3 linked regions of the Saccharomyces cerevisiae S288C genome follow. Changing the gene in region 1 together with any one later gene gives a genetic interaction. Each region holds a gene or a part of one and is shown in the gene's direction. Other genes may lie near its edges.

Evidence for each region.
Region 2: mutations in MKS1 (region 1) and HSU1 together harm fitness more than expected from each alone (negative genetic interaction), as found in Saccharomyces cerevisiae (2 studies listed by BioGRID).
Region 3: mutations in MKS1 (region 1) and GEF1 together harm fitness more than expected from each alone (negative genetic interaction), as found in Saccharomyces cerevisiae (2 studies listed by BioGRID).

Annotation. Positions count from the first base shown.
Region 1 is NC_001146.8:480,816-486,761, forward strand, and holds MKS1 (Mks1p), read left to right. Parts: upstream 1-2,740; coding exon 2,741-4,495; downstream 4,496-5,946. Other genes in the region: NIS1 (Nis1p), read left to right, coding at 1-176; APJ1 (Apj1p), read left to right, coding at 576-2,162; snoRNA-binding rRNA-processing protein IMP4, read left to right, coding at 4,792-5,664. UniProt on the Saccharomyces cerevisiae protein: Negative regulator of Ras-cAMP pathway. Involved in transcriptional regulation of galactose-inducible genes.
Region 2 is NC_001144.5:22,029-26,799, forward strand, and holds HSU1 (cystathionine gamma-synthase), read left to right. Parts: upstream 1-1,540; coding exon 1,541-3,268; downstream 3,269-4,771. Other genes in the region: JLP1 (sulfonate dioxygenase), read right to left, coding at 3,728-4,771. UniProt on the Saccharomyces cerevisiae protein: Plays a role in inorganic sulfur assimilation during sulfur-limited conditions; catalyzes the conversion of O-acetyl-L-homoserine (OAH) into homocysteine in the methionine biosynthesis pathway.
Region 3 is NC_001142.9:506,111-511,588, forward strand, and holds GEF1 (Gef1p), read left to right. Parts: upstream 1-1,635; coding exon 1,636-3,975; downstream 3,976-5,478. Other genes in the region: MLO127 (Mlo127p), read left to right, coding at 1-1,191; ribosome biogenesis protein URB2, read right to left, coding at 4,129-5,478. UniProt on the Saccharomyces cerevisiae protein: Anion/proton exchange transporter involved in iron and copper cation homeostasis. Involved in intracellular iron metabolism during growth on fermentable and non fermentable carbon sources.

The DNA of each region.
Region 1 (5,946 bases):
CTCCGGGTTCAGCATCGAATGAAAGCTCTGTCTGCTCTTCTAACGCCAGCGACTTAGACATGTCCCTTTTATCTACTCCTTCAAGTCTCTTCCAGATGGCAGGTGAGACCAAAAGCAATCCTATAATTATACCCGACAGTCAAGACGATAGTATACTTAGTAGCGACCCCTTTTAAGTAGGTAACCCCCCCTGGATTGCATAGCCATTGCATAGCCTTAGACATCAAACTTTATTTAATCACATTATCCTTCTATGTATCTTTTTCCCCCGCTCGATTTCTTCTAGAACATTACGGAAAATAAAGGAAAAAAATGACTGGAGCATCGAATCTGTAGACTAAAAAGGTAATGACGCGTTCTTCGTTCCCACAAGTATGTGAAATCGTTTGAACGCTTTTATATACTGATAGGAATAGATTATAATAGTATTCAACATTCATCAAACAGTTTATATCGGTAATAAACCAACCTCACGATACAGTGATTATTTCTCTAAACAACACGAGCCGTACTGTACCTACGATAAAGTAAAACACATTTTTCTTTTGCTACCAGTGGACACAAGATAACGGAGAATGCAACAAAACACGTCTTTATATGACTCTTTGAACGTTACTGCCGCTGCATCCACATCTGAGATTAAGAAAGCTTACAGGAACGCTGCATTAAAATATCATCCTGATAAAAACAATCATACAGAAGAATCCAAGCGAAAGTTTCAAGAGATATGCCAGGCATACGAAATACTTAAAGACAATCGTTTAAGAGCTTTGTATGACCAGTACGGTACCACAGATGAAGTCCTGATTCAAGAGCAGCAGGCGCAGGCGCAACGCCAACAAGCCGGGCCGTTCAGTTCATCCTCAAATTTCGATACGGAAGCAATGTCATTCCCGGATCTATCTCCAGGTGATCTTTTCGCGCAGTTTTTTAATAGTTCTGCTACCCCCTCTTCTAATGGCTCCAAAAGCAGTTTTAATTTTAGCTTCAATAATAGCTCTACGCCGAGCTTCTCCTTTGTTAATGGCAGTGGCGTGAACAATCTGTACTCCTCGTCAGCAAAATACAACTCCAACGATGAGGACCATCATTTGGATAGAGGCCCTGATATCAAACATAATCTAAAGTGCACATTGAAGGAACTCTACATGGGTAAGACTGCAAAGTTGGGTTTGAATAGGACAAGGATTTGCAGTGTTTGTGATGGGCACGGTGGTCTAAAGAAATGCACTTGTAAAACATGCAAAGGGCAAGGTATTCAAACCCAAACTAGGCGTATGGGACCTCTAGTACAAAGTTGGTCTCAAACTTGTGCAGATTGCGGGGGTGCCGGGGTTTTTGTCAAAAATAAAGATATTTGCCAACAGTGCCAAGGTCTTGGCTTCATTAAGGAGAGGAAGATTCTACAAGTCACCGTTCAACCGGGATCGTGTCATAACCAACTTATAGTACTTACGGGCGAAGGTGACGAAGTTATTAGTACTAAGGGAGGCGGTCACGAAAAGGTAATACCTGGTGACGTCGTTATCACCATTTTACGTTTAAAAGATCCGAATTTCCAGGTTATCAACTACTCCAATTTGATATGTAAGAAGTGCAAAATCGACTTCATGACCAGTTTATGTGGAGGCGTAGTTTATATTGAAGGGCACCCTAGCGGTAAGTTGATCAAACTTGATATTATACCTGGCGAGATACTGAAGCCTGGTTGTTTCAAGACTGTTGAGGACATGGGGATGCCCAAGTTTATCAACGGTGTTCGGAGCGGTTTCGGTCATCTATATGTCAAATTCGATGTGACGTATCCAGAGAGACTGGAACCTGAAAATGCTAAGAAAATACAAAATATTCTGGCTAATGATAAATACATTAAAGCAGAACGTTCCACCATGGAAACCGCAGATTCAGACTGCTATTGCGATTTGGAGAAGTCATATGACAGTGTGGAAGAGCATGTGTTAAGTAGCTTTGAGGCCCCTAATTTAAACAATGAAGTTATTGAAGACGACGACCTTGGTGATTTGATTAATGAAAGAGATTCTCGGAAAAGGAACAACCGTCGATTCGACGAAAGTAATATTAATAATAATAATGAAACGAAACGAAATAAATATTCTTCACCGGTAAGCGGTTTTTATGACCATGATATTAATGGATATTGAAGGTTATATAGTCATGCAGTAATGTTATACATTTTCTATTTTTATTTTTTGTATCAGTACTCTATCTATAAGGACATTCCTTTTTTTAAGCAATGCGGAAAGATACGCTATTCTTCCTGTGGATGGTTTACCGCGGTTTGGGTGGTAATATCATTGCAGCCCTAGTCCTTTAGCAGTTTTTTTAGCGTGTAATACATTGTTATTCATCTTTTTCTTAGTGCCTGCCAAGAGATCGTGGGAGGTTACTTAACAGAAAAGCAAAAAAAAAAACCGATTAGAATGTGCATGCCGTTGTTACAGAGAAGCAAGGGAAGTTCACCACTGATCATATTTCTAAGTTCATCAAAATATCGTTTTGGTTTCAGCAGTAGGGATCTTTAACCCAAGTGTTCATTTTCTTTCCTTTTTGCTTTTTATTTGAATGATCTGAACAAAAGGAGAAACATATACTGTACTATTGCGTGAAAACGAACAGAGCACAACCCTCAAGAAAAAAGAGAACTACCCCTTAGTTCCATCTCATTTACTTAAGCAACACTTCCTAATTATTCTCTAATCCTAATAAAAAAAAAGAACTGATGTCGCGGGAGGCATTTGATGTACCGAATATAGGTACTAACAAGTTTTTAAAAGTCACACCTAATTTATTTACCCCAGAGCGATTGAATTTATTTGATGATGTCGAACTATATCTTACGTTAATAAAAGCATCCAAATGTGTCGAGCAGGGAGAAAGGCTGCACAATATAAGTTGGAGAATTCTGAATAAAGCTGTTCTAAAGGAGCATAATATTAATCGATCTAAAAAAAGAGACGGCGTGAAGAACATATATTATGTGTTAAATCCAAACAACAAACAGCCAATAAAGCCAAAGCAGGCAGCAGTAAAGCAGCCACCATTACAAAAGGCCAATTTGCCTCCCACAACGGCAAAACAGAACGTTTTAACTCGGCCAATGACATCACCAGCTATCGCACAGGGTGCTCACGATAGATCCTTGGATAATCCTAATTCTACAAACAATGATGTGAAAAATGACGTTGCTCCAAACAGACAATTCTCCAAATCTACTACGTCAGGGTTGTTTTCAAATTTTGCAGACAAATATCAAAAAATGAAAAATGTGAACCATGTTGCTAATAAGGAAGAACCACAAACTATTATCACTGGTTTTGATACAAGCACTGTTATAACCAAGAAACCTTTACAATCAAGACGCTCAAGATCACCTTTCCAGCATATAGGAGACATGAACATGAACTGCATTGATAATGAGACTTCCAAGAGTACCAGTCCTACTCTTGAAAATATGGGAAGTAGAAAATCCTCTTTTCCTCAGAAGGAATCTTTATTCGGAAGGCCAAGGTCTTACAAGAATGACCAAAATGGTCAACTGTCACTTTCGAAAACATCCTCTAGAAAAGGAAAAAACAAGATATTTTTCAGCAGTGAAGATGAAGATTCCGATTGGGACAGCGTTTCGAATGATTCAGAATTCTACGCTGATGAAGATGATGAAGAGTACGATGATTATAATGAGGAAGAAGCAGATCAGTACTATAGAAGACAATGGGACAAGCTTTTATTTGCCAAAAATCAACAGAATCTTGACTCAACGAAATCATCTGTTTCATCAGCGAACACAATCAACTCAAACACATCCCATGATCCCGTACGAAAAAGTTTACTCAGTGGACTATTCCTTAGTGAGGCAAATAGCAACAGTAATAACCACAATACTGCACATAGTGAATACGCTTCTAAACACGTTTCGCCGACTCCTCAGTCCTCTCATAGTAATATCGGTCCTCAACCGCAGCAAAATCCACCGAGCGCTAATGGTATAAAACAACAAAAACCTTCTTTGAAAACAAGCAACGTGACAGCTCTAGCATCGCTATCTCCCCCGCAACCATCCAACAATGAGCGGTTATCGATGGATATACAAAAGGACTTCAAAACTGATAATGAGTCCAATCATTTATATGAATCTAATGCTCCGCTAACTGCTCAAACTATACTGCCCACCGCCTTATCTACTCACATGTTTTTGCCAAATAACATTCACCAACAACGAATGGCGATTGCCACTGGTAGTAATACGCGACATCGTTTTTCGAGGCGGCAGTCGATGGATATCCCATCCAAGAACAGGAATACTGGGTTTTTGAAGACCAGAATGGAGATCTCTGAGGAAGAAAAGATGGTACGTACAATATCACGGCTTGACAATACGAGTATTGCAAACAGTAATGGAAATGGTAATGATGACACCTCTAATCAGAGAACGGAAGCACTGGGGCGTAAGACGAGTAATGGAGGGCGAATATGATTACTAAGTTAAATAAATCAGATACAGTATTTAAAGTTCTTTCAAAAAAAGATAATGTCATATATTTTACTATCTACGCAGTGAAAGAGTTCCTTCTAATGACACACTATTCACTTCGGGTAACGGATATTGTGTACTGAAAAATATAAAAAATTTTATCCCGGAAATGCGATGAGATGAAAATGCATGAAGTAGCGTATATATTGATTGCATGAGGTTGGACTTGAAAGGGCATATATACTCGGTTTTATCATTGATTCAAGTGTTCCCATAAATAATAAAACAGTTAAATCGAAATGCTAAGAAGACAAGCCCGTGAAAGGAGAGAATATCTATACAGAAAAGCGCAAGAATTACAAGATTCTCAACTGCAACAAAAACGTCAAATAATTAAACAAGCGCTAGCTCAGGGGAAGCCATTGCCAAAGGAACTAGCAGAAGATGAGAGTTTACAAAAGGATTTCAGATATGACCAAAGTTTAAAGGAGAGCGAAGAAGCAGATGATCTACAGGTTGATGATGAATATGCTGCCACAAGTGGTATAATGGATCCAAGAATCATCGTCACAACATCTCGTGACCCAAGCACTCGTCTCTCGCAATTTGCCAAAGAAATTAAACTGCTATTTCCAAATGCTGTCAGGCTGAACAGAGGTAATTATGTGATGCCAAATCTAGTGGATGCTTGTAAAAAATCCGGTACTACAGATTTGGTGGTATTACATGAACATAGAGGTGTTCCAACTTCTTTGACCATATCACATTTTCCACATGGACCCACTGCACAGTTTAGTTTACACAATGTTGTTATGAGACATGATATTATAAATGCTGGTAACCAAAGCGAAGTGAATCCACATCTAATATTTGATAACTTTACTACCGCTTTAGGGAAAAGAGTAGTCTGTATTTTAAAGCACTTGTTCAATGCGGGGCCCAAAAAAGATTCCGAAAGAGTAATCACTTTTGCGAATAGGGGTGATTTCATTAGCGTTAGACAGCATGTATATGTGAGAACAAGAGAGGGAGTAGAGATTGCCGAAGTTGGTCCTAGATTTGAGATGAGGTTGTTTGAACTGAGGTTGGGAACTTTAGAAAATAAGGACGCTGATGTTGAGTGGCAGTTGAGAAGATTCATAAGGACTGCCAATAAAAAAGACTATTTGTGAATTTTTTTATAGATTTGTAAAGGTTAAAATAGAAGGCCGATGAGGCCTTATGTAAGTCTAATATGGTATTCTTAAAAAAAAAAAAAAAAAAAAAGCGTCTTAGAGGGAATATAAGAGAAAAGAAGAGATAGCATAACACATGATTTATTTTTATTTTTGCGTTTTTTTTTTTTCTTAATTGTTTATCAATGTATCTGTGAGAGTATCTACATAAAAAAAATAACCATATGAAGACATAAATTTAAAAGAACAAAACGAACGAAGGGAAGAGGTGCAGAAAGG
Region 2 (4,771 bases), on another chromosome or scaffold:
CCACTTGTATCCACTCCCTGTTTTGCACACGGTAGTAGAAGGTCTTTTGAATATTTACTGTAAATACCGATTTCTATGTCCTTCTTGTCCGATTATAGGATTCGGGTCATTTCCAGCGCCTACTTTCCTTCTTGATTTCAAAATGTGTGGTTAACGTACTCCCAATTGCACTACTGTTCCTACAGTTCACGCGCACCTCTTTCTGATGAAAATGCAGCTGCATTAATCTGCGATCTATTGGCATCTCGCTCTTGTATCTGCCCTCCATTCGTGAAATTTTACTCTATTACCATCTTTGATCATTTTTTTGTCGCAAATGTGATACGGCATCCATCGAATTTTGCTCGTAATTGTTTGCCATTATCGCCCTTTTCATTCCGTATTATTCATCCACTCCGCTTCATAATGGGTTCCAAAAAAAGAACTATTGTACGAGCTTTTAGACTCACGAAAACATTACTTGAACAATAATTAGCGCCTGCAGAACTTGACATAATAAAATTCCATTTTCGATATCTAGCTGTCTGAAGATATGATATCTAAGTAATACGGGAAAGTTTCCGCTATTATTCTCTGTTGCAAGCTCACGTGAAAATGTGGATTCGCGAGTGGGGTGTAAGTGAGGATTGCCAAGCCTTTTGTTCGAAAACTTCTGCAGGAAGCGTTGTGTTGCAAGGATGATGCAGCATGAAATATGTGTTTTCTTTTTTTCGAGGTTCACTCCTACAGGTGATTCCTTCGAGAAATTCTGCAACCCATTGTGATATGATGCCTGGCCGAAAGATTTCTTCATTTCTTCGGAGCAGGTTCGGCCCGAAATCCTCATGATCGAGCCGAATGCCAAGAAGTAAAACACCAGGATGACTAACCAGTTATTATCATGTGTATACAGTACTTTGGTACCTTTATCAAGAAGTATACTAAAATATACCAACACCACACACATGCACATGGTAGCTGAGCGAACAGTTTCGAGATTTCAGCATTAATTTCATCTAATAAGACTTTCCGTCTGCTTTCAAGATCAACGTGCTGAACATTTTTACTCTGCTTTCATAATACTCCCATTTTAGGCTTTGATTCAAAAGCCCACTCAATGCAATACCTAAAATGATATCCTTCAAAGATATGTTTAATGAATATGCAGCCACAGCTTTGAATTCAGATTGACCTTGTGTTGCATTAAGTCAGACACCTCTAGATTTGTGTGGCTGCTCTCAAGAAAGGATGTTGAAGAAGATTTATTTACGGAAGAAATAACTGTATACGGCATTTTATTCTTTCTTAAACGAGCAAATTAAAGAATAGACGGATAGAGACTGGAGCTTTAGCATGTGTTCCGAGAAGTCCTTGACACGCGCCACGGTTGTTATGCCGCACACTACAATGATGTGTTTGAAAAAGTATATTAATGCCTATTGTCAAGATGCAATTCATCAATTCCAGCATTGAGTGATTCTTCTCTGGTGCGGTAAAACATAAATTTTAAATCTAGTACTCAACCACCACTGAACAACTATTAATCATCGTGGAAATTATTATGACGGAAATTGAATTTGGGCAACCCCTTCCCAGCAATCTAGACTATGCTGTTTCTTTTGGCATTCCTACATGGGATTCGGCAATAGGCTATGCGGAAAAGGTGCCAGAGGTAATAGGCAAAATGGCTACAGGATATCCGAGGTACTTTCCTCAACCCCCCGTCCAGAGGCTTTGTGCTTACTTTGTTAAGAAATTTGGGCGAGGTTCAGAAAACTGTCGTCCTTTTCCATCCGTTAACCTGGGTTTAAAGTGTTTCGAGTACGTAAAATCTGTCTCAGGACCTGAAAGTAAAGCTCACCTTGAAGTGGAAACAGTTACGATTAAAAACCGTGGGGCAAAAACGTCGAAAGAACCGGCGGAATTGGTGCTAACCATTGCTGCTGTCCTTGCATCGGAGGAAGAGTTCGAGACTGTGAAAGAGTATTGGAAATTAAGAGGTGAATGTGTATCTAGTCGATTGGCGTTGTCTGTCAACCAACTTCTTGACTGCGCTAATCATGGCTCAGAGCAGGTATTGCGTGAGCTAGAGGCTGGTGTTTTTGCAGCAAAGAAGGGGGAGGAGAAAGCAAAGAACCTGATAAAGGGAAGGATAGTTGAGAATCGCTTCAGGCCCTTTGGTTTGGAGAAGAAAACCCCGAATTGGGAGGGACTCAACCTCAACCCAAATGAAGACGTTTATCTTGTATCAAGTGGCATGTCTGCAATATCTACGGCTCGTAATTTACTCACCTTTTGGGAGGAGAAGAAGAATTCAGGAGATTCATTAAACAAGACCACCTCTGACCAAAAGAAAAAGCCATTATTATGTGACACTGTTGGCATCTTCGGCTTCCCTTTCAAAGATACGCAGGTCATTATGACTAAATTTGGAAAATGTAAATTTTTTGGATTTGGAAATTCTAGAGACGTTGTCGAATTACAAAAGTTTTTAGAAACAAGCAAACAACGCATTCTTGCCGTTTTCGTCGAGACACCTTCAAATCCTCTGCTGAATATGCCGGATTTGAAAAAATTGAGGAGTTTGGCCGACCAGTATGGCTTTTTTATTGTAATTGATGATACTATTGGGGGCCTTAACGTTGACATCTTGCCCTATGCTGATATAGTCAGCACGTCCCTGACTAAGCTTTTCAATGGTGCTAGTAATGTAATGGGCGGCTCTGTCGTTTTAAATCCGAAATCATCTCTGTATCCATATGCTCGTGAGTACTTCAGGAGCGCTAATTTCGAGGATTTGTTATGGTGTGAAGATGCGATAGTTTTAGAACGTAATTCCAGGGATTTTGAAGATAGAACTTTACGTGCTAATGCAAACACAGGAATATTGTTGAATGATTTGCTTTTACCCGAGGAGGGGAAAATATGCAAAAAGATTTATTATCCAACTGTTACTTCTAAGGAGACCTTTGAGAACTACGAAAGTGTACGTAATGAACGTGGTGGCTATGGATGCTTGTTCTCTGTAGCCTTTTTCAATGAGGGCGATGCAAAAGCATTCTATGACTCTTTAAAGGTATTCAAGGGACCTTCTAATGGTACTAACTTTACCTTAGCATGTCCATATGTCCATCTGGCGCACCACTCAGAATTAGAAGAAGTTTCCAAGTTTGGGGCCGACCCCAACATTATTAGAGTAAGCGTAGGTTTAGAAGATATCCAGTGGTTATTGAAAGTTTTTTCAAGTGCTTTAGATGTTGTGAAAAGCAGAGGCTCCAAACACTCATGAAGCAGATCATGAGTAGAATATCAAAAATCAAGAATTCTTTATAATCTTTATAGAATATTGTTTATAAAAGTTTTTTTCCATTCTAGCATATAATTTTTTTGGAGGAAGTCTTTTCTGGAACCTTCACATGGATCTTAATTAATGAAAGTAGACAGAGCTCATAAGATCACTAGTTGTTTATAAACTGAAGATGTTCCTTCTTATTGACTTCAACATTATATCGCTCTGAATTAGTTGATCTGTAACTTCAGAGTTTCTTTACCAGAATAAAAGCGTCACAGTTTTTCTTTAGTTTATATGTACACAGGTTGGGGTTTACTATAAACTATAAAAAAGAAGTGTTGTCGCCGCTATTTTAAGGTTTATACACAATTTTAACCAAAAAAAAGAATAAGTTGAGCAACGTTGGAACTGCCTCTGCAACGAATTCCGGCTATATACAACCTGCATCTTTGAAATTCAAATATCCAAAGTTAATGAAGAAGGATAATAATTTTCATCATTCAAAAACTTTAGATCTTCCACGGGCCTTTCCGCTTGTGGAGTAATCCTGAACGCATGTCTGTGAATTGGTTCTTCCCAATCAATCACTGCTGAATGTTGAACTCTGCGGTTATCCCAAATGACGACGGAATGAGGTTCCCATTTGGCTCTTAACTGTAAATCATGGCTGCTCTCCACTAGATTGTACAAGAAATTCAAAAGTGATTCAGATTCTTGTCTTTTCAATTCGACTATTTTCCTAGAAAATGCACGATTGACATACAAGCATTTCTTTTTCAAGACAGGATGAACTCTGACCAGTGGATGAATATGCGTGACAGGTGCTCTTCTTTTTATGCCGCCCTGGCGCTGTGAATTCTCTGCCTGTTCCTTTGAGCTATGGATGACATGAAGCGTGCTCAAGAAATCTTGCAAAGGCTTCGACAACCTGTCGAAAGCCTCGATCGTATCCGCAAATAACGTATCTCCACCACCATCAGGACCTTCAACAACACTAAAGAAAGTATAAGAAGGTGGCTGTAACTCGTAAGAGACGTCTGTGTGCCAGCCACCAGATGATGTCGAGTCATCAAAAACTCTTGCAAATTCTTCCGCATCAGGTCTTCGGAAAGTGATATGCAGCTCAGGATTGTTTTGAGGGTGGCCACTAGTTTGATGAATGTGCAACTTGCCAAAATGTCTTCCGTATTCAGTCACATAATCGGGTCCCTCGTCAGCAAAATTCTGATTTCTAAAGACAACTACTCCCTTTTGGGCGACAAGCAAAGCGAGTTCATCTTTTGCAGCATCAGAAAGATCAGTTAGCTGGATCCCATTGATCTCGAGACCTAATTTCGGGGTGATCTTCTTCACCTTTAGTTGACCAACGTTTTCTTTTGCAAAAAGGTTTGAAAAGTTACCGTCAGCTCTCAAAGCAGGATCATGGTATTCGTGAAATTCCAGCGGGCCATACTTTTCAGTAGGATCCCATGTAGGCAAATAATCTGGATACTTCGATTT
Region 3 (5,478 bases), on another chromosome or scaffold:
ATAACTTTGGAATCTTCATCAAGATATGTGATTGTAGCGGCCCTGCCAGTAGCAAATCCATTGCAGGACAAGTATTCCGAAATTTATGTGTATGATATTAAACAGTTCAAAAACATTTCCGCATTCAATTTTTCTAACCTCAACAATGATATCGAGAGTATAAAATATGAAAACGCTATGATATCAGATATTATTGCCGTACCCATGCTCAAAAGAACCGAAACATTAGGAAAAAGAAAGACTTCTGAGCTGTATAAGGAAGTGATTTTCAATTCATGTATCTTGGTGTCTCTAAATTTAGACTCAATAGACGGTATTGATAGTAAAAATATGAATAACCTATTATTGTTTTCATTTGATGAGGAATCGGGTTTTATTGAATTTGTTTTTGGGATTAACACGGGGTTCTCAATCAGTGGGTTACATAACTATTACAATGGATGTGTTTTGGTTTATGGGGAGTTTGTGCAAGCTTATCAACTGAACTATTCAGTTCATGATAACAAGTTCAGTATTGAACAGGTTTCAAATAGGTTGAATATTTCTGGTATTACAATAACATCATCTATATTTTTTGATAAAAGGAAGGCAAAGATGGCTAGGAAGCAGCAAAATATAGGTACATGGGTTTATTTGGAAGAAATGATTTTACTTGATGTACGGAAAGGTGTGATGAGGTTCAATGTCATCCATACAACAGACGGTAACATAGAAAAGGTTCAATTGCAGGTACAGCCTCTGAATTTATTTGAGAGGGACCTCATCAATAGCATTACCGACACCGGGAAAATGTTTACCGGTGCAGCCGCTATAACTTTCAAGAATATTAGGTATCTACTAATTTCGTACGGTGATCAAAAGCTCACGTTATTTAGTTTAAAACTTGATGGTGAGGAAGAAATAGACGAAAGAGTGTACCATGTTGCTGAGCAAGTTACAACCATCAACTCTGTAAGAACTACTGATTCCAGAATGAGCACGTTTTTAGGCGAATCTACATTTATGCCCTTATTCTTAGTAAGTACCTTGTCTAACGGTTGTTATGTGATCGGAATCCTGCATGAAGAGTCAGATATCTCATTACATATCTTATCAGAAAAGAAAGCTGTCTTCGCAAAGCGGTCGGTTCAAAAGTTCCTGGGCTTCCTCGATCCTCAAATGGATGATCACACTGTAATATCTGAAATTTAGTGTCTACGTTATGATATATACACTTACAAATTTACTTTCCTTTTTTAGTATAGTTTTCAAGTAAAATTCTTGAAGCGGTGTTGTTTTTGTTTGTTCTTCGTTTAGCAAAAGTCATTGTTAAATACACGCTATAATATGGCCATGACCGTAGGACCGAATGCTGTCCGAAAAATGATACTTATCACACATTTCAAATAAGATCGGTTTTGTAGTTCAAAGATTTCTTAAGAGCCTTTTACGTGTTTCTTAAGAAACACTTCACATTGGCTATCATTATTAGTAAATAGATTTATATGATTTTCACTTATTAAGGACAGAAATGTCGCGATTTCGAACCCATAAAAAAAGGAAAAGCACCGCCTGTTCTCCAGTCTTCATAAAAGCACACCGTATAGAAAGGGCGGTGAATGTTGATCTTGCATACTATAAAATTATTTGACACTAATGCCAACAACTTATGTGCCAATAAATCAACCAATTGGGGATGGTGAAGATGTCATTGACACCAATCGATTCACCAATATTCCAGAAACGCAAAATTTTGACCAATTTGTTACAATTGATAAGATTGCTGAGGAAAATAGACCACTGTCTGTAGACTCGGACAGGGAGTTCCTTAATTCAAAATATCGACATTACCGAGAGGTTATATGGGACCGTGCAAAAACATTTATCACATTAAGCTCTACGGCCATAGTTATTGGATGTATTGCTGGTTTCCTACAAGTCTTCACGGAAACTCTGGTTAACTGGAAAACAGGTCATTGTCAGAGGAACTGGCTACTTAATAAATCCTTCTGTTGTAACGGCGTGGTTAATGAGGTTACCTCTACAAGCAATTTACTACTGAAAAGACAAGAGTTTGAATGCGAGGCACAAGGGCTTTGGATTGCCTGGAAGGGACATGTGTCCCCTTTTATAATTTTCATGCTTTTGTCAGTCTTATTTGCTCTAATTAGTACACTGTTAGTCAAATATGTTGCTCCTATGGCTACTGGTTCAGGAATCTCAGAGATTAAGGTATGGGTATCAGGTTTTGAATACAATAAGGAATTTTTGGGTTTCTTAACATTAGTCATTAAAAGTGTTGCCCTTCCTTTGGCTATTTCTTCGGGATTAAGCGTAGGTAAAGAAGGGCCCTCAGTTCATTATGCAACCTGTTGTGGGTACTTACTCACAAAATGGCTACTAAGAGATACTTTGACGTATTCATCGCAATATGAGTATATCACAGCAGCTAGTGGAGCAGGTGTTGCGGTTGCTTTTGGTGCTCCTATTGGTGGTGTCCTTTTTGGTTTGGAAGAGATTGCTTCTGCGAATAGGTTTAACTCCTCTACCTTATGGAAATCCTATTATGTCGCCCTAGTCGCAATAACTACTTTGAAGTACATTGATCCATTTAGGAATGGCAGAGTTATTTTATTCAATGTAACATATGATAGAGACTGGAAGGTACAAGAGATTCCGATCTTTATAGCCTTAGGAATCTTTGGTGGTTTATATGGAAAATATATTAGTAAGTGGAACATCAACTTTATTCACTTTCGCAAAATGTACCTGTCCTCATGGCCAGTTCAAGAAGTGCTTTTTTTGGCGACGCTTACTGCTTTGATTTCTTACTTCAATGAGTTCTTGAAATTAGACATGACAGAAAGTATGGGTATATTGTTTCATGAATGTGTCAAGAACGATAACACCTCAACTTTTAGTCATAGGTTATGTCAGTTGGATGAAAATACGCACGCTTTTGAGTTCTTAAAAATTTTTACTTCCCTATGCTTTGCCACTGTTATCAGGGCCTTGTTGGTGGTGGTATCATATGGCGCCAGAGTTCCTGCCGGAATCTTTGTTCCTTCAATGGCGGTTGGGGCCACATTTGGACGGGCAGTAAGTCTACTGGTAGAGAGATTTATAAGTGGCCCTTCTGTTATTACTCCTGGTGCCTACGCCTTCCTGGGAGCAGCCGCTACCTTGAGCGGGATAACTAACTTGACTTTAACTGTGGTGGTAATAATGTTCGAGCTAACAGGCGCCTTCATGTATATCATACCCCTTATGATTGTAGTGGCAATAACAAGGATAATTTTAAGCACGTCTGGTATTTCTGGCGGTATTGCTGATCAAATGATCATGGTTAATGGATTCCCATATTTGGAAGACGAGCAAGACGAGGAAGAGGAGGAAACCTTAGAAAAATACACTGCAGAGCAGCTCATGTCCTCCAAATTAATTACTATTAATGAAACCATTTACCTTTCCGAGCTTGAATCTTTGTTGTACGACTCAGCGTCTGAATATTCTGTGCATGGTTTTCCAATAACTAAGGATGAGGATAAGTTTGAGAAGGAAAAAAGATGTATTGGCTATGTTTTAAAAAGGCACTTAGCCAGTAAAATCATGATGCAAAGCGTAAATAGCACCAAAGCTCAAACGACACTGGTATACTTCAATAAGTCTAACGAAGAGTTGGGACATCGTGAAAACTGCATCGGATTTAAGGATATTATGAATGAATCTCCAATCTCGGTGAAGAAGGCGGTGCCAGTAACATTGTTATTCCGTATGTTTAAAGAGCTAGGTTGTAAGACTATCATCGTAGAGGAAAGTGGAATTTTAAAGGGGTTGGTCACTGCTAAAGATATTTTGAGGTTCAAAAGAATTAAGTATCGAGAAGTTCACGGTGCGAAATTTACATATAATGAAGCACTTGATAGAAGATGTTGGTCAGTTATCCATTTCATAATCAAAAGGTTTACCACTAATCGAAATGGTAACGTTATATGATTAGACATTTATGTAATTTTTAAGGCGCTAGTATAGATTATTCAAAATTATATGATACAGACTTTTATCAATTTTTACTTGTTTAAGCTCCGTCACCCTGTTATTAAACGTGAGCAGAGAAATGCCTTTTGAAAACACACTAAAACACATAAGTTAATCTTCGCGCCATTTACCAACCTTTTTGTATTGGAGGTAAAGTGCTTTGAAATATTGTTTCCCAGGTGTGTCAAGGAAAGCGTTCAATTGATTCAACTCGTTCTGAGATAATATATCAAAAATCGCATGAATACCGGGCTGCAGACTCTTTTTTATGTTTAAACTGAACTGCGTCGTAATAGACAACTGTATATATTTCGTTAGAACCACAAGTACATTTTTTCTGATGGACTGCTTTATCAAACTTATCTTTGAGCTTAAGTTATTTTTCTGCCCATTTTGAGCGTTTGATACATTATAAGGCTCGCAGTAGTTCGTTATTAGTCTGGCTACGGCGTCTGCTGAATTTGCACACAATGTACCATCATGAATTGCTATTATTTCTAGTATCTGGCAAAGAACGGAGTTAAACAAATGGTGACGATTGGAAAATTTAAACCTGTGAACTAATAGCATATGATCTATCACTTCGATGATGTTAATAAAGCCTTCATTGATTTCATCCGTTGACTCATGGTTTACTATAAAAGCGAGAGTTTTTAAACAGAAAGGAAGCAGCATTTCAATACAGTATTGGCTGAATAGCCATGGTTTCGATACTAAGAACTCCTTGATAGCATTGAACAGTAGCAAGTATGACTTGTAGCCAAATTTTTCTATATCACAATAGGTGTAGGCTTCAAGTAAAGCTATCACAAATAGGTGATGACCAAGGTTATTGTCTCTTGCAATCCTTTTTGACATTATGATAAAAACTCTCACAAATTTTTCAGCACAAGGTTGGCTAATGGTGGAAAACGATTTAGCACTGTTCCAGAGCAGGCGGTTAAACGCATCAGGACCTTGTTTAAGACTTTCTTCCAAGCAGAACCCCAAGGCAGAATCGCACTTATCTGTATGCTCAATATTTAAGTACTCTGCAAAAATATACTCCAACTTGTTTTCTGTAAGGAGTGAATGAACCAAAAACATTTCCTGTTCTTCTGGCGCATGGTACACTTTTTTAGAATGATATCGAAGCATAATTTTGGAAAATATATCCAGAATTCTCGATTTATGCTTAGAAATATCGCCTTGTCCGGTCGTTATAATCTTGTACAATGTAGACATTGATATTCTGAAAAGGGGAATTGTTTCAGATTCAAAATTTTCAGAGTAGTTTTCCAAAATTTTAACAGCATAGCTAATTGCCATACCTTGTATATCTCTATGCTTGTTATCTGGTTTCAAAAATTTTGCGATAGTAAACCCGGCGATAATTAGTTTGCTATCACCATTGGACAATGACATTGACTGTTTAACGATATCGTAACCAGATTCTAAGAACTTCTCACTCACAGGCTCCTT